Drosophila melanogaster: one gene and its partners. The gene in region 3 interacts genetically with the main gene of each other region. Each region holds a gene or a part of one and is shown on either strand. Other genes may lie near its edges. The genes, in order: pira, Ulp1 and velo.

Evidence for each region.
Region 1: of velo (region 3) and pira, changing one suppresses a phenotype caused by changing the other (phenotypic suppression), as found in Drosophila melanogaster (one study listed by BioGRID).
Region 2: of velo (region 3) and Ulp1, changing one suppresses a phenotype caused by changing the other (phenotypic suppression), as found in Drosophila melanogaster (one study listed by BioGRID).

What each region holds. Positions count from the first base shown.
Region 1 is NC_004354.4:12,760,112-12,765,642, forward strand, and holds pira (pirate), read right to left. Parts: upstream 3,501-5,531; 5' UTR 3,233-3,500; coding exon 1,187-3,232; 3' UTR 531-1,186; downstream 1-530. Other genes in the region: PAICS bifunctional enzyme, read right to left, coding at 238-262.
Region 2 is NC_004354.4:19,202,102-19,209,896, reverse strand, and holds Ulp1 (Ulp1), read left to right. Parts: upstream 1-1,709; 5' UTR 1,710-1,863; intron 1,864-2,104; 5' UTR 2,105-2,137; coding exon 2,138-4,824; intron 4,825-4,960; coding exon 4,961-5,833; intron 5,834-5,905; coding exon 5,906-6,070; intron 6,071-6,129; coding exon 6,130-6,331; intron 6,332-6,410; coding exon 6,411-7,025; 3' UTR 7,026-7,794; downstream 7,795-7,795. Other genes in the region: CG14195 (uncharacterized protein), read left to right, coding at 1-278, 351-699, 769-1,076.
Region 3 is NT_037436.4:6,749,626-6,754,564, forward strand, and holds the start of velo (veloren), read right to left. Parts: upstream 3,128-4,939; 5' UTR 2,520-3,127; intron 1,819-2,519; 5' UTR 1,809-1,818; coding exon 1,728-1,808; intron 1,672-1,727; coding exon 934-1,671; intron 860-933; coding exon 1-859. Other genes in the region: SBDS ribosome maturation factor, read left to right, coding at 3,482-3,612, 3,693-4,320; Ist1, read right to left, coding at 4,650-4,868.

The DNA of each region.
Region 1 (5,531 bases), on a different chromosome or scaffold from region 3:
TAAAATATTATCAGAACCAGGAAAATATTCCGTTGTTTTATTTTTTTGAGTAACCCGAATAACTGTTTAAATAAATCCAAGGCTGGCGGGAAAACATAAACAACTGTCTTGCTTTCCATCACATTAAGCTTGTCTTTTATTGATGAAAGATCGAATAAAAGATGGTAGCTTTGGTACTATTTACGTTCTAGGCACAACAATTGTTTATTTGGAAACCTTGGCGATGGATAAACTTACTGGATGCTGTTGTGGTGGTGGACATCTCGTTAATCGCACGTTGTTGGTCACTTCACTTTAAGAATCGAAATTGAAATCAATTGGCTGCTGGCTGTTTCACGTGTTGCGGGCTTTGCTTTATGCTCGATATTCGCTGGTGCCTTCCCTCTCGCTCTCGCTCTCTATCTCTCTCTCTGTCTTTTTCGCTCTCTCCGCTTGGCTCTATTATTACAATCCGCAAACTCCGATGTTCGTCTGCATCAAAGAATCGCTCCAAAGCAACTGAGCGTCTATAGAATCGCCGGCGCGACTTTATGGCTCGATTTTCTTATCGCCGAACCCCAACACCAATGCAAAGAGATCCATGTGTTTGCGCTCGCGTGTGTGTGCTTGCGTGTGGGTGTGTGTGTGGGCTTAGAGTCGAGTATAATGCTGATTGGTAATACCCTGCAGTTTCCCAAATGGCCGATGAACACCGCGCGGGGCAACTTATGTACTTATGTACATACATACATATGTACATTTTTTGGCAATCTATAAAGCTTTGCTTATGCGTGACAAATTTTATTGTCGCATTTTATTTACAAATTTTGTTTCTAAAATATTTTCTATTCATTTGGTGACTTTCTGAATTTTGAATTTTTCTTGATTTTTGTCCATTCTCCAACTCCTGACATCCACCTCGTCCTGCCTAACATGCTCATCCTGTGATCCTGATCTCTGTCTTTGTCTCTGTCTCTATCTCTCCAGTAGGTAGCCTCTTTATCGTCTTGTTGGCTGAACTGCTCTTTTTGGTGATTGTATGTGTGTATGAAACTTTTCCTTGAGGGAAAAAACGTATATTTCTGGTGAACCCATCTCCGCCGTGTCAATTTGCTCCTCCTAGTGTTCCAAAGCATTGCGTTGCGATCGTCTTCAGTTCAGTTGTTTTGTAGAAAATATATGTATTTTCACTTCTCTCACAAGTGGTTTATTTGAGTGTATTCCTTCTCCTCGGCGGTTTTCTGTCTTTTGAACAAACCAACGTAGTTTTATGCTCCTCTTTAGAATTCTCCTCCTCGCTATCCTCCTCATCCATCACCAGTTGGCCATTTAATGTCGGAAACTTAATGACCGGCAAAATTTTGCGCTGCTGATTGCTTTCATTCATAAGCTTCTTGATGAGATTAGCGATATCCTCACGCTTCTTGGTTACTGTGAGCAGGTCAAACCAATTGCTCAGCTCCTTAATGGGCAGTGTATAGTCGTTGATGGGTTTTGTGAAGAATTGCTCCACATATTGCAGCAGATAGAGGCCGCAATCTGTAAGATTCTGCTGTTGCGGCACCTCCACACTATGACCGGGCATATTATCCTTGTTAAAGACATGCGCCAGCGCATTCGGATACTTGGCCTTGTGCTCACAGGTGAGATAATCCCGCAATATGGCAATCGCTCGATGTCTTGAGGTGACTGCCAACGAATCGAAAATAAGTATCAACGGCTGTTTGATGGGAATATCATCACTGAGTGTCGTCTGCACATTATTATTGTTTACCACCGGGCTTCTAAGGTTTGGATAACATATAATGGCCAGTATCCAATGGGACTGCTCATTGAATGGTATTATAATGAAGTCCTTGTCGAATATATTGACGTTTCGTGTCCACTTCTCAACCCTTTCGTGACGCTTCTGGGCCGCCGTCTGCTTCGTATTTCTGGGATTCGTTCGTGTGGTCAATCTTTTGTGGAAAAACGTGCTAAAGATATGCGTCCTATCGCGCTGTTCCTCTGGTATGATGTTATTCTTTAGCCAGCGCAGATAAAAATCAATGATTATATCGTTCAGATACGATCCTTTACTGAGACACATAAAGTCCTTGATGGTGATGCTCAGGCCACCGGTACCAGTTGGCGGATATGTGAAAAGGGTTTGATTCTCATCGGGTGAAAGTCTTCTCTCGGTTTGGCCATCATCGGCGGCGGTGGTCTCCTCATCACCGCTGCTCACCAGCACCACGGCATCTTCATCAACGTCCCTGCTTAGTATCCAATTGCGATTTCGGCGCAGGCGACTACGCTCTGCGCGTTCTGCTGGTGTGGGTATAGCAGCGTCGCTAGTTGCTTTCACCGCTGGCGAGGATATGGATGCAACATTCGATTGCACCCGCGATTGAGATCCACCAGCTGTCTCTTCCGATTTCTTGCTAACAGCGGCATTGTTCCTCGACTGGATCCACTGGGAGATTGCGGGAGCATCTTCAGCTGGTTGCACGCCCCGAAGACCATTACTCGTCATTGTAGAATTGGAGGTTATAGCCGTGGAGTTGTGACTTCCCTGTTTATTGCCAGATGAACTAGGGTTGTCATGAGAACTAGCAGCTTGAATTCCATTGTTATCCTTTGCAATATGGCACTTCTTCTGTTTCTTGGCCTTGGTATTAGTATTGGCGTCTTGATCCGCCGACAATATCACTTGGCCATCATTGTTTTCTCCCGGACTCCCGCAAGGACTTTTCTTGTGCTTCTTGCCTTTGGTTGCACTTGCAGCTGGCTGGCAACCATTGTTGGCCACCGCAGTCTCTGATGGTTTGACAACCGCAGGGGAGTGCTCTTCACCGGCCATCGCATTGGGTGGAGCGGCATCAGCCGATGATGCCTTTGACTGATGCACCTTCCTATAGAACTCCTCCGCATGGGCAACCGTCTCGGCAATGTTATCACTGATGGGGAAGCCCACAGAGACAACCAAATGGATAATACCGCCGGCATTCTCAATGCAATCAATCGTGGTGCTCTCATCGATCTGAAGGTCCATTTGGAAAAACAGATCCTGCACCCTACACGCAAGATTCGGCAGCTTGAAGGTGACGATGTGCTGCTTTCCACTGCTGTAGATAATCAACATCCTGGCACTTCCTTTGTCCGGATCCGTGTCGGCTCGATTGATCAGCAATTGACGTGAGACTAATATAAAGTCATTATGGGCAATTCGACGTACCGCTTGGTCCTTCGAAACAGTTTCTTTGCGATCCATTTTGGAGCCGGATTCAATAGTATAACATATGTACGTTATATGGGCTGATCTGACTGAACTGAAGTTTCTCGTTTCGATTGCAAATTCTCGGGCTGCTTGATGTGCAAAGTTAACTGGATGGTTGAAGAGTCACCTAACACGGTGACTTTGATCACTATATTCCTTTCATTTTCCAATCTGTGTGTTTTATGCGATATTTGATATCTGTCTATTTTTATTGTTGGGGTAAACGGCGTCCCAAGTGCTGTATCCAAAAATCATCTGTGCGAGTTGCTATCGCCATCGGAGTTTTGCTGCTCATATCGATACATATGTATATGTTTCCAATTGGTATGGATTTTGTGGGGTGTTTTTAAAAATATGTATCGATAGTCCGCTTTGAAATTTGAATGTTGCGAATATTGAAATTAAATAATATTTGAACTGACGAAATATAGGCATTTAAGCGAATCTTAGCTAAGCTAAGTTCTTTGCTTTTCATTTACAAGTATTAGTATTCTTACATGTGGTATTTACAAAGTTATAAGTTCAGCCGTTTGTTGCAAGTTCTTTGTATGGGAATTTTTAAAAACCAAAAATTTATTCTCGTTTTAATTTCAACATTTTGCAAATACAAGTACAGACATTAATCAAATTATAGTTGTGCGTCCGTCATCGGGTCCACCTGTCCGATTTTTAGTCGTCAGCATTGAGCTCCTCTCACCACATGGATCGCTTGGCGGCGATAAGAAAATCAAATGTAAACAAAAATATTATTGTTTTTTTGTTTTTTGCCAAGAGCGTATTTATAAAAAAAAAAAAAAAACAACTGACAGACACACACACGTTTTCCTTTCCGCGGGCCAAAGGGCTCCATTTCGCAATTTGCATCGGTTGCCAAGTGCGGAAAAACGCATCTAAATCACAACGTTGTTAGCTGTCAGAAAGTTTGCCAAGTCGAATTCCTTAAATGTGAAGCAACTGGAAACTGGCTTTTGTTTTACATTTACAAATTTACTATTACTACTACTGTATATACTTTACTAAATAGTGTCATATCTGTGCTGGCTGCAGTAATATATTTTGCAAAATATATTTTTATTCGAATTGTTTTTTCTTATGCATATATTAATTATATATATTATTTAAAATATATTTAACATTTAAGCACGTGGAAAATGCATATGTAAATAATACAACAAGCCTGCTCTATTTTTAAATATCCAGCTGAGTACATCATATTTTTCGGGAAAAACTTATGCTATGTTTTCCGTTAGTTCTTTATTAAATTGAATTTTTCGTTGTAGTCATATAAACTTTTTTGTTTGCTCTAACCAAACCGTTCGCAGAGAAGATGTCATATTTAACTAACAGCTTTATTTTTTTTTTAAATACGCGGGACTTTAATATTTAATTCTCAATTAATTCTCGAAACGATGTTTTTAGTTCATGCTTTTTAGTTCCAAAGCTGAGACTCAAACCCAATGCCAGCTCCATGCAGCGCGGACGCACACACCGCTCGCTATCGATACCCAACAATTAGCCGTCTATCGATATTTGCAGACTATAATATTTTTATTTACACTTGTTGAAAAAGAAAGAACATTTATTTATTATTAAATTTAATTTTTTTGTAATTTAATATAAAACAAATATTAATATAATAAAATTAAAAAAAATAAGATATATTTTCAGATGCATAATCTTAAACTGGTATTGATAAACATAAGTTTGTCGGAAATCAATTGATCGGAAATTTTTTGGCCTCCACTACAAATTGAAAATGCATATACAATTTTAAGATTGCATGCTAATAACTGAAATTGAATAAATTTAAATTTGAAGAAATTCGTTTTCTGAGTCTTCGAATAGCGATGAAAAAAAAAAATAGACATCGATGTTTCGGAAAATCGATAAAAACATCGATGCATCGATGTTAGCTTCGATATTTCGGTACCGCTAGTTGCCACGAAAGTCGCTCGAACGCCGGTAACGGAAATTCTCAGCAAACGCAGCGCAACGTCGTTTTCGCGTCGCCGTCGACGTCGGCGTTGTGTCGTCGCCGCAGCAGCAGAAAATAAAAATAAAAGAGAAGAAAAAGAATCGAAATAACTGCATACGAAATAGATCGAAATAAAAAGTAGTCGCTTTTATTAAAATCCACAACAAACAAAAGCCGAAACGAAGAAAGTGAGCATTCATTTGTTGTTGGTGTGTCAAGCGAATTCCACACGCAGCCGCCAATTGTATTAAATTCGAATTGTTTAATTTAATTGTAAAGGTTTGTCCACAACAAAACGGAGCTGGCGAAAATTGCATT
Region 2 (7,795 bases), on a different chromosome or scaffold from region 3:
GCAACTACATGCTGGCCACCGATGAGGCGTATGTGACGTATGTGAATCCCAACGGGGTGGAGATTATGGAGATCATACCCGAGGAGGACGAGACGGTGTCCATGATGCGGTCGAGCAATGCGACCATCGACAATTATGCCATGTCCGCCTCGCAGATGTCGCACAAGTCCCTGTCCAATGGACGTCTCTATCCACTGACGCCCCAGCATCCTTTGGGCACAGGAACGGGAACTGGTACAGGTAGCTCCTCACCCCTACCTCCCGATTATGCCAACCTGGTGAGTAGTGCGCAGGCTTTGTGGAATATGGTGACCGGATGTGAAACCTTTCCGTATGCTCCTCATTTTCAGCGCCGCATCCGGCGGATGTCGCGTGCGGTAACCACGCACCTGTGGTGGAATCTGCTGGACAAGATCGCCATGCCGCTGCAGCAGGCGCTGCTGGTGCCGCAGCTGTACGCCACCACGCTGCTCCTCTCGGCGGACATCTTTAGCTACGTGATGTGCCTGACGGTGCTACCCGGACTGGCGGTCAGCCACCATGCGCTGAAGAACGCCGAGATCCCGTTCCTCTTCTCGCTGCTGGCCTTCCCATGGATGTGCTTCTCCCTGATGACTCCGCGCTTCGGCACGAGCCTCTATAAGCGGAAGCTCCAGTGGCACACGCTGGGCAGCATCTGCAAGTGCCTGGCGCTGATCTGTGAGTCATGATACCCGTTTCAAGCTTTCCCCGGGCCATCAATAGATCCATCTTTTGTTTCGCTTCCAGTCATCAGCTTCTCCACCTCCAAGCTGCTGCTCAGTGTGTCCGCCGTGCTGCTGGGATTTGGCCAGGTGGTGACCGCCTTTCTGCAGGAGCTGGTCTTCCAGATGGGCATGACGCGGGCCAACTGGACGGCCATCCGCCGTCCGGTGCACTTCACCAACGGCCTGCTGGTTCTCCTCTGGGGCGCGCTGGCCCACTGGGTGGTGGAGCGGTACTCCTTCCAGGCCACCGTGGGACTGGCCGGCGCCCTTTACGGAACTACCACGCTGCTCTGGAACTTCCTCTTCTTCTGCTGCCAGAGCAAGGATTGAGGGACTGAAGAATTCGCGCACTCTCACACAACAAGGCATCGTGTATGTGTGTGTGTGTGTGTGCTGCTGTGGCTGACGTTGTTGTTGTATTTGTGCAGTGATATTAATAAATAAATATATAAACTATAAGCAAGCTACATACATTTTAACATAAGTCTTAAAAGTCTTATTACGTCAATTTGAAAAAAGAATGGAATGCTGGCCTTTAAAATATCCCTAAAGAACTGCTACAGAAGTAGCTATAGCCTTTTAGCTATTTTTCCATTAAGCTGTGCTGACTACTGTACTTTGGAAATGTGGACAGTTTTTTTCCGATTAAAATAAGTTTAAAAGTATAAAATGTTGCGTTCATTCTAGAGATTGGTTCAATTTTTTAGAAATCTGTCGCACACTAAAAAAAATGCATGTTCTTACAAAATTCGCTGTGTAAGAAATATTGAAAATATTGAAATATTATTGGAAAATATTGACGAAAAATTTCCCTTTTCACCGAATTTGTCGTATTTTTACAGTAAGACTAAATGCCGTTATTTCCTCAGATATTTCTAGGTAATTACATTCGCTGCGTGACGAAAGCTGCCTGCTATGATGCGGCAGCCAGACCCAACACTGTTGGCCGATATCGATTGGTTTGGTATTATAGAGCAATATCTTGTACGGTCATACTAAGGCACCAGTACGCCAAAACCGAAATTTTCTTTCTTTACTCAATTTTCATCGAGCTAAGTTGCGAAAATTTTCTCAAGTCACAGTGAAAAGTGTACATTGTTTAAAACCTGGCCAAGGGGTAAGTGTTTGTTGCAAGGCGCTTGTGGTGTGGCACTCAGTGCGGTGCAATAGCAGCGTCGGCATTTTCCGGCGGCCGCAGAAGTGGCACCAAGCAAAGACGGCGAAAAACAGCGAAAAATGCGCAAAATCGGGCTTCCTTTTTGCCGGCTCGTTTTCCTTTTTTGCTTATTCTTCTTCTTGCGATTCTTGAAAGCGAATGCGTGTGGAAAAATAATTTCTGATTAAATTTCAATTTGCAGCTAAAAGTAGCGAAAGCGGTAGCGAACACACGCATGTCGCTGCCTCCCGAGGACACCGATTTGTCCACAAATTCCGCATACGAATCCGCACTCCAAATCGCGAGCAATGTGTCGGCAGCACGAGTAGTCGGTTCGGCAGTAGGACAGCGATTTTCGCCGTCGCCAGCAGCTCACCCGAACGTGATTGAGCGCGTCGCGTCTCATGTGGACTCACGCCGCAGCACGTTTCCAAGTTGGGGTAATCCGTCAGTAGCGCCAAGAGGATCGGAAGAAGCAGCAGCCAACGCCACAGCAACACAACTCCTATGGGCGGAGAACCAAGGTCTCCCGACATCGCACTTATTGCCAACTGAACAGGCATTCGAGACATTGAACACTAATGCGTATTGTTCCCCGCCAGGGGATTCACGATTTACGTTCCCTAGCCAGAACTACTCGCCGCTGCTGCCGCGGTGTGTCCCAGTTCCGAATCAGCGTTACTCTCCAGATGGATCGCCAATACATCAACTCCATGAGCTGCAAAATTGTCCATTGATAGATTCGCCGATAAGACTGCGATTTCCATCCCCCTTGCCAGAACCACCATCACTACCGACCATCACCCTTACAGTTGATGCCCTGATCGATCTTGACCAAAACAACCAGGTCGCATATTATGTCCAGCAGTACAACAATCAGCCAGTCCTATATCAACAAAACATTCATATAGGAACGGGAATCCAACTATGCGATCAGGCCTCCGAGAATAATCAACCGATTATATTACATATCGTGGAGCACAATCCCCAGACTATAACTGAGAGCCAGGAGCAATTCCACCAGGTTGTCCCCGAAATTCAAATCAATAATATCCAGGAGCAAGATCAGAAATTTGAAAATGGCATCTCGGAACAAAATCATCCGATTGCAACTGAGGCTCAGGATCAGACTTTAACTGAGATCCGGGATGAAAACCAGATTGTCCTTGCAGTCCAAGAAAAAAATCTCACGCGTGCCTCTGAGATTCAGGACCAGAACCAACAGACATTAACCGAGATCCCAGAGAAATGTCTTCAGATTGCATCTCCTGTCACTACTGATATACAGGTACAAAGTCCTCAGGTTGTAATAGAGATCCAGGAGCAAAATCACCAGTCTGTAACGGAGATCCAGGAGGAAGTTCACCAGACTGCCCCCGAAATCCAAGTGAACGTTTTCCAGACCTCGTCTGATATTCAAGGGCAAAATCACCAGATTGTAACTGAAGAGCAAAATCATCAGACTATAACCGAGACCCAGGAGGATTACTCGGCTGTCTCCGAAATCCAATGGGAAAATCTCTCGTTTTCTGCTGAGATTCAGGAGCAAAACCAGCAGATCGTAACCGAAGTTACGAAGCTTGCATCTCCTTCTGTTACTGATATACAGGCACAAAGTCCTCAGTCCGTAATCGAGATCCAGGATGACGATGATGAAGATCTAAAGTTCGAATCTGATGATCTGCACACTATACCTGAAATCCAGGAGAAAAACCAACAAAGTCCTCAGTTCGTAATCGAGATCCATTATGATAATGAAGATCTAAAGTTCGCATCTGATAATCAGGAGCAAGATCAACAAACAGCCGAGCTCCAAAAGGAAAGGTTCCAGTTCGCATCTGAAATCGAGAAGCGAGATCTGCAGATTGTTACTGACACTCACAAACAAAATTATCACAATGTAACCGACATCCCGTTCGCAACATACATCCAGGAGGAAAACGAGCAGTTAACACCGGAAGACCAAGAGGAAGATCAACATTACCTGAATTTTGAGGGGAACCAACAATTCCAGCTCCAGAAGCAAGATCAGCTGAGTGTACCACAGATCCAGAAGCAAACCCACCAGTTCGAATCTAAGGTCAAAAAGAGAAAGTTGCAGCCCTTTTCTGAATACCAGCAGAAAGGTCAGAAAGATCATATCCAAGAGAGGCAGTATATTCAGCAGGAATTCACCATCCACTCTAACCAGGCTTATTCTAAGGTCCAGTATATACAAACTATACAAACTGCGACTCCGTACGTACCTCAATTGGAAATATCCCAGGAAAACAGTTTTGAGGTTCAACCAGCATACGAGGTAAACGAAGGCCAACGGGACAGAGAACTGGTTAGTTACACAGGCCACGAGCATCAGAACTTTGTTGATGAGGTCTCGACACCATTACCGCCCGCTGAAGCTCAACCAGGATCTACTTCAGAAGATATATCAGACCCCGTTTCACCTGAACATTGGGAGCAGCTAGAGTCACTCGATCCGAGCACTATTTGTATTCGCAAAACCTTCAATCTAATTCGCGATATCTCTGAAAGTCTGGTGGCCGATCCAGAGCAACCCGAAGCCGAAGCCCACCGGAAGTCAATTTTCCTTCTCCGCCAGAAGCTAGCCGATGTGTGCCATAAGGTTCTAACCGAAATTATACACGGCCGGGCCACCGATGAGATCATCTCCATTCTGAGAGAGATTCTCGAGCAAACTAAGGAAATACCTCCACGCCCCACGCCGAAAAGAGACCTCCAAGAAGACATTTCGATGGGCTTAGAAATATTAAAAAAGATCCGTGGTATGCTATCCGGTTGGTATTCTTCCAGAGAAAGCGAAACGGACTCCACGGATACCGGAACGGGATTCCAGGCTCAAAACGGAAAAGGTTTTGGTGCCGGCCGCCAGCCGGAAAATAGTTTTTTATCCCAGAAAAGACGGTAAGCATTAAGAATTTTATGTTATTTTTAATTTTGTTTACCTAAATCCAACTAGGTAAGCCTGCGCAACAATTTTATGTCATTCATTGCTACTCCCATGTAAAAATTTCAATTAATGTTTTTTCTCTACTTTCAGCAACCAAGAAGAGAACCCTCGTCTGATCAAGTACCGGCGTGTGGACAACAGCTTTCCCCGCTTGATAACGAATGAGACGGCCGAGGACCTGATTCCCAACAATTCGATGGCCAAGCGGGATCAGCCCCAGAGCTCAAAGCGGCTCTCAATATTTAATCCGCCGGTATACACGCAGCACCGAGTGCGCAATGATGCCCCCCACGTACCTACGCCATTTGACGATGAGGAGTCGTCACAGAGACTTGCTAACGCGGGCCCATCATCCAGGCCCATGACTTACTCGGATGCGGTGCGTCTAGGCCATAATGGCATCTCCGAGTCGCGCGTAAATGGGCACTCCAGCCATACGGTGCGCAGAGAACCGTCTCGGCTGCACAGAAGCATTCTGTCCCACGAGATGAACTGCAAGGATCAAGAGCAGTATAACGAACTTATCCGTACCCAAACAAATTACGTGGGCAGTCGCTACCTCAAGCCGGGTACCCCGCCAACGTTTCAGCGGGCTAAAGCCCAGTCGGCAACCAGTAGCAGCTGCTCACTGCAAGACAACCAATCGAATATAACAGATTCGTTCCCGTCGCCACATGGCCGTGCGAACCCTGAGCTAACGGAGTACGCCAAATTGATCAACCGCCAGGAGAATGAGGAGAACAGGTCTCCGGCACCACAGCAGCCAAAGCGAAACGCTAGCAATAGCTCTGCCAGCCATGCGTCCACTATTTCCAGCAGCGCATCTTCCTCCTGCAGCACTTGTTCAACTTGCTCATCTTCTGACACTGAGCCAATGTTGGTTAAAGATAGCCCGGAGGTCAAGGAAGCCAACGAAGCCAACGAGGCCAACGAAGCCAACGAAGCCAACGAAACCAAGGAAAAGTAAATAAATGCTTTATATCCAAACGTAAATAATTTGCAATAATCAAAAATCCTGATTTTATCACCAATTAGTGACGCACCTCAACCTACAACTACCAGAATCAAGAAACCAGACTTCTTGCACCGTCGCTTTGCCAACTGTATCTTTCTAAGGAATGACTTTGCGGAAAATTTCAAAGCAAGAGCGAATCGCCGGCAACTTGAATCCATGCATCTTCTTGGAATAGCTGAACAGCAGTAAGTATTTGTAACGCTATAATTAGGCCCAGTACCAAGAGGCTTTTTTCCAATTTTAGGGCTAATGAAAGCAAAGATGAACGCCTTGCCTATGAAAAAAAGCTGCGGGAAGTCATGTTCCGGTCTGGTGCTCCCCACCGGCCCTTTTTTGAAATCGGGCCCCTGGAACAGCCGGAAGAGAAGAAAGAGACCAAGCTCATTCCGCTAACAAAGGAGGACCACGCTCGCTTTCAAGAAATGACAACTATTGAGGTTACGACGGTAAACGAATATATTTATTTATTTATATGTGTACCCATTTAAAACGTTTATATGCTTGCGCTTTAAAATCTTATTTCAGAACTTAATTTTCAAATATAACCTACAAATAACTACCGACGACATATTCACGTTTGTTGATGGCGAATGGCTTAACGACGCGATCATCAACTTTTACATGTCCATGCTGACGGAACGCTCGGAGAAGCGAGCTGGCGAACTTCCCGCCACTTACGCCATGAACACATTCTTCATGCCCCGTCTCCTGCAAGCTGGGTATGCAGGCGTTAGGCGCTGGACTCGCAAAGTGGACTTGTTCAGCAAGGACATAATACCGGTGCCAGTGCACTGCGGCAACGTCCACTGGTGCATGGCCATCATACACTTGCGTAACAAGACAATCTTCTATTACGACTCAATGGGAAGACCAAACCAACCGGCGCTTGATGCTCTAGTTAAATATCTGCACGAAGAGTCACTAGACAAGCGCAAACAGCCGTTTGATATGACCGGTTTCGTTGTCGAGAACGCGCAGAATATACCACGTCAAGGGAATAGCAGCGATTGCGGTGTCTTCAGCTGCATGTTCGCCGAGTATATAACGCGTGATGTTCCGATTACCTTCTCCCAGGCGGAAATGTTGTACTTCCGCACGAAGATGGCCCTGGAAATCGCCGACGGAAAGTTGTGGCAGTAGGGGTTCAAGCACAAAACTACGCAAAAATGGAGAATTCAGTTCTTTACTTATTTTTACAAATCTTACGTAAACACTCCAAGCATGAATTCGCGACAAGTACTTAGCCATCGAACGAACTCGTTTATTCGATAGAATCGAGATGGCTGAGACCCCTGCTGGTGCATTAACTTGTTCTCATATCTGATTGTAAAAGAGAATCTATTTCTTCAATAAAATGTCACCAAGTAAAAGCGATGCGAATAAGGATGTATTAATCGCCGAATATCTTCAAGTTTATAATTAATATTTAGAATACAGCAAGCTATGAATATGTACTAATGTAATGTAATGTACTGCTCTAATCCTAACTCTAAACTAGGAATTACTGGATTTCATATTTTTTTCTTACATTGTCTTTTCTGTTTCATATCGTTAAGTTGAAAAGATCAGAGCCGCTGATAATTGAAAATCATACTAATACTCCAGTTTATTTTTGAATTTATCGGTTTTTTTTTTTTTAAAGAAAATGTCGCTATATTCCTATAAATTAGATAATATTAATAAGGAATCAATCTTAATTTAGTATTTTTGAAAATGTAGCTTATTCAAGCAAATACTTATTATACAAATATAGGTAAATGTGGGTTAATGGTATTAGTTTTGTTTTTGTAAAGATTTTCTCTAACCCTTAGGAAGTAGTACACCTTTCATAACCTAAGGTACATAATGTAATATAATTTATTTTTGCAGAGCGAACTAAACAGAAATATATATTAAACAAAAAATATATG
Region 3 (4,939 bases):
GCATCATCAGCATTTGCTGGTGCTGCTGCGGCTGCTGTTGCGCCGCCTGCTGCTGCTGCTGCTGAGGATTTCCGTCGGTTACCATGTGTGTGCGGTAGATGTGGCGCGGCTGTTGCTGCATCTGCTGCTGCTGTTGTTGTTGCGGCTGGCCGAGATTCGTGCTGATGGTAATGTGCTTCATTTGGCCCTGAGTCACTAGCATGGTCTGTCCCTCGCCGCTGGCGCTAGTCTGCACCACCAACTGCGCTCGAGTGGGTCGTACGCCCGCAGGTCGCATATTCCTAACCAGTCCGCCGGGCACTGCACCTCCTCGCGGACGAACTTGCCGCACAATTGTTGTGGGCGTAAGTGTAGGCCTGGTGGTAATTAGTGTGCCCGGCCTGGCCAGCACAGCTCCACCTCGGGGCGATTTCCTAAACGAGGCGCGTACTAGTTGAGTGCCACCGGCAGCAGAGGTGGCCACTAGCTGCGGCTGCTGCTGAGCCACCAATTGCGGTTGCTGCTGCTGTGGAGCCTGCTGCTGTTGCTGCGGCTGCACCTTTTGCACCTGCAACTGCTGGTAGACAACATTTTGGGTCTGCTGTGGCACCACACGAGCCTGAACTAAATGGGCTGTTTGAGTCGTGGGCTGCAGTTGCATCTGCTGTTGTTGCTGGACTTGCTGATGCTGCTGCACTTGCTGCTGCTGTACGTGCTGCTGGATGACGTGTTGTTGCTGCTGCTGCTGTTGCGGTGAAGTGGCATAAACTACACGATTGTTGTACGGATGTATGGCCTGTCGCATAATCAGCTCCTGATGCTGTGGGCCCTGGATCAATACCGGTTGCTGCTGGACAATCACGTGCGTATTGTTGAGCATCTAGGATTTGGAAAATCGATATCAATATGTTTCAAGTGAAAGATAAATACAGGGCTATTTGGAACCTAACTTACCCCTAAGGGCCTTTGTTGCTGCTGTGTGGTGGTCATGCGGTAGACGATCTGCTGGTGCTGCTGCGGTTGCTGTTGGGGTGGCGACGTCTGCAGTTGCAACGTTTGTGCCTGCTGCGCTTGCTGATGCTGCTGCTGGGAACTCTGAAGTAATTGGGCTTGCCCTTGGGGAGACGATTGCACTTGGTAGGCGGGTGCGTGTTGTTGATACTGTTGCTGCTGCTGCTGCTGTTGCTGCAGCACTTGCTGCTGCTTCTTCTGCTGCTGCATATGCTGCACAATGGCATTTGGTTGCAGGACTTGCTCTGAAGTGTAGTAAATCTGCTGTGTATGCTGGATGGCGGGTTGCTGCGGCTGATGCTGCACATATTGCTGCTGCTGCTGCTGCTGTTGCTCCATGTGCAGTTGTTGCTGCTGCTGCTGGGGCTCCTGTTGCTGCTGCTGATAGTGAACCTGCTGCACTTGCTGCACCTGATGCTGCTGATGATGCATTACAACTTGTTGTTGCTGTTGTTGGTGCTGCTGCTGCGGTTGTTGTTGTTGCTGCTGCTGCTGTTGTTGTTGCTGCTGCTGCTGTTGGTGCTGTTGCTGCTGATGTGCAAGATCATCGCCACCGATTATGTGGTATGTGGGTGCCGCAGACTGCTGGGGCTGTTGATATTGCGCTGGGGCCGTCGTCTGGTAGACAACTTGCTGCTGGTCGTTGAACACCAGCTGCTGGTCATCCTGTAGGACCAGGGACTGAAAGAAACAAGAAATTAGCTTGCTATTCACCGAGGGCTTCGGATACTACTCACCCCAACCTCATCTTGGGGCACTTGCACTACTTGCAAATCAGAGTAGACTGGCTCCTCCAGGGGCACAATATACTGCTCCATTTCAAGGCAGCTGGAAGGGGTAGAAAATCAGTTAGAATTTTAGATATATACTATTTTTTCACTAATTCCCTAGGCCCAAAAAGTACTGTTAAATTTTAATTAATATGATCTTTTCTTCAATTACATTTTTTTGTTTTCTTTTTGGAATATTTTTTTAATTATATGCAATTTCTTATAAGTCGTATTATATATTTTAATTAAATTACATTACAACAACAATGCACCTAGATAAAGAAAACGTTAACTGGTTAAACTTTGCACTGTATGTAGCATAATTAAGATACTTAAACATTTTGTGTACTCTTTAAGGTTATATTTTTGCGTCTCAGTATGAGGACATCGTTAATTCCTTCACATTTATTTTAATATAACCTCGGTAAGGAATATAAGTGTTAAAGTATAAAATTAAATAAGAATGCAAACAAGTTTTGTCACTTTTGTGAGAATTTTTGCTCTTTTTTGCAGGCGTTGCATTTTTGAGACTTTTACAGAGCCCTCAAGAACAACACACACACAAAATCGCAGTAGAAAAATGTGATTTCTACCATTTTCCGAGCAGAAACTTGTACAATATGCGGTTGACCAATTGTATAAATTAATTCCTATGTAATTTTGCAATATATTTAACTTTTTTAAGGCACATTTATTATACAATTACAGGTCACTTTTTGAGCATAATTTTTTTTTTGTTGGCATTCCCAACCTACACACCTCCGTTAATCTTACGAGAATGGGAACTTTTTGGAGCCAATCGCTGTGCCCTCGGCTCGATCCAGTTGTTCTTTGATTAGATCATAATCGCGCTGTCTTTTTACAATAAACACACGTTAATTATTCGCGTTTTTGCTTGAAACCCGTGGCTTTCTTTCTTGCAATAAAAATGGCGTTCACCATTAAAGGCAGCATTTGATATTTATTTTATCTGGCAATGACGAAACGCGAGCGCCCCCTGGCGGGCCCATCAGCTGTTCATAAACATTTTGCAGCGTTGCTTTGGGCCGCTGATTTATCGATGTCTGCCTTGTGCCGTCCTCTTCGCCTAATGTTTAGAGGTCCCTCTGTTTGGCATGTAGCCAGTTTAAAGGGACCACTAAACGGTCGAGCCACTGGAGTTGTCTTAAAATCTTTAGTTTTTCGCACTGAACGCGCTGTTTCGGTGATTTCCATGATTTTGTTGCACATTATGCTGTTATTTAGCGAAAGGCGATTGATAACGATTTTTAGCGACCGTTGATATCGCGGTTTTGAGCACTATGTGTTTTGTTGTTTGCTGCGCGCTCTGGCGAATTGGGTGAGGAAGAAGAAGAAGAAGAAGAGTGGCGAAGGAACAACAACAACGTCGTTGTGATGGTAAAACGTCGATAAGTAGAAAAACTCGATAGCTCGGAAAATTGTGGGTAGCGGTGAAAAAAATTTCAACAAAAAAAATATACATAAATAAAATCCATCTAAATATATATATTATAAGTATGTTTTTAATAGAAAGCTGTTATGCAGTTTTGTATATTGTGAACAAAATTTTTTATCAAACTGTACATCAAAGGAAATTTCAATGATTTCACAACTACGGGATATATAAATGTTTGATTTTTTGCCATTCATCGTTTGGTTCGATCGAAAGTGTTTTGGTTTACTTGCACATCGCTAATTCCGCAGCTTGTATTTTAACAACAATGTCCAAAATATTCACGCCCACAAATCAAATACGCCTCACAAATGTCGCCATTGTGAGGCTAAAAAAAGGTGGCAAGCGATTTGAGATCGCCTGCTATAAAAATAAGGTTCTTTCGTGGAGGAGCAACAGGTAACAGCCGCTAAATGCAACACGTGCAGATTGTGAAATAGGCTTTACCTAAATCTAATTACTTTATTGTATATGCTTAGCGAAAAGGACATCGATGAGGTCCTGCAAACCCATACCGTGTTCACCAATGTCTCCAAAGGACAGGCGGCCAAAAAGGACGAGCTGCAAAAGGCCTTCAATAAAACAGACGAGACTGAGATTTGCAAGGAGATCCTCAGCAAAGGAGAACTGCAGGTGTCGGAAAAGGAGCGCCAAAGTTGTCTGGACACGCAACTAAATAGTATAGTTAATTCCGTGGCTGCGTTGTGTGTAAATCCAGAGACGCGTCGTCCATATCCCGCCTCCATCATCGAGAAATCCCTGAAGGATGCCCACTTCTCCGTTAAGATGAACAGGAACACCAAGCAGAACACACTGGAGGCCATCAAGATTCTCAAGGACCATATGCCCATCGAGAGGTCGCGCATGAAGCTGCGCGTTAGCTTTGCTGGAAAGGAGGGCGGTGGCAAGCTCAAGGAATCGGTGGTCAAGTTGGCCAACGCAGTGGAGCACGAGGAATGGGACGAGGCCACCTTGCACTTAACCTTGCTCATAGATCCTGGCCAATATCGTGTCATTGATGAGCTGGTAAGGAACGAAACGAAGGGTAAGGGACTGCTGGAGCTGCTCGAGCTGAAGGAAGTGGTGGAGAGCGAGGAACTCTTCTAGGCAATACAATCCCTTTAAAATTTTTTGTTTTTCTTTGTAATCTTGTTGATATTTATGTGAAACATAAAGCTGATAAGTACACAGAATTTAATCTGTTAGTATTTTAATCTTTAGGCTGTTTTTAGATGAATCAAGATTGCGAATATGAAAAGCAATAGGTCAACCATCTTTCAATTCAGATTATACATTTTTGAAGTCTGATTAACTACTTAATCGAAAAAACAAAATGATCAATAGTTCCTTACACATATACGTGATTATTAATGTAGAACAGGACAGAGATTATAACAAATATACTGTAGACTTAAAAGGTGATCTGCTGGCCAGCTTTACTTTCGCTTCTTAAGGTTCTCGAAGCGACGTGACAGGTCATCGAAATCAATCTCATCCTCGTCGTTCTTCTTCTCGGCACCTGCGCCCGGAATATCTGGCAGATCGTTGGGAACGTTGGGCAGCGAGGGGAAGTCCAATGCCGGAGGAGCACTTGGTAGCGTGGGATTACCCGGTGGCAGCTTGGATCGGGGTTGTGGTTTCGGTTTGTTGGCATTCTGCGAAGGGTAAAGTAAGTAAGCAAATTAATAAATGTTTTTATATTGCAAAACCTAAAGAAACCTCATTT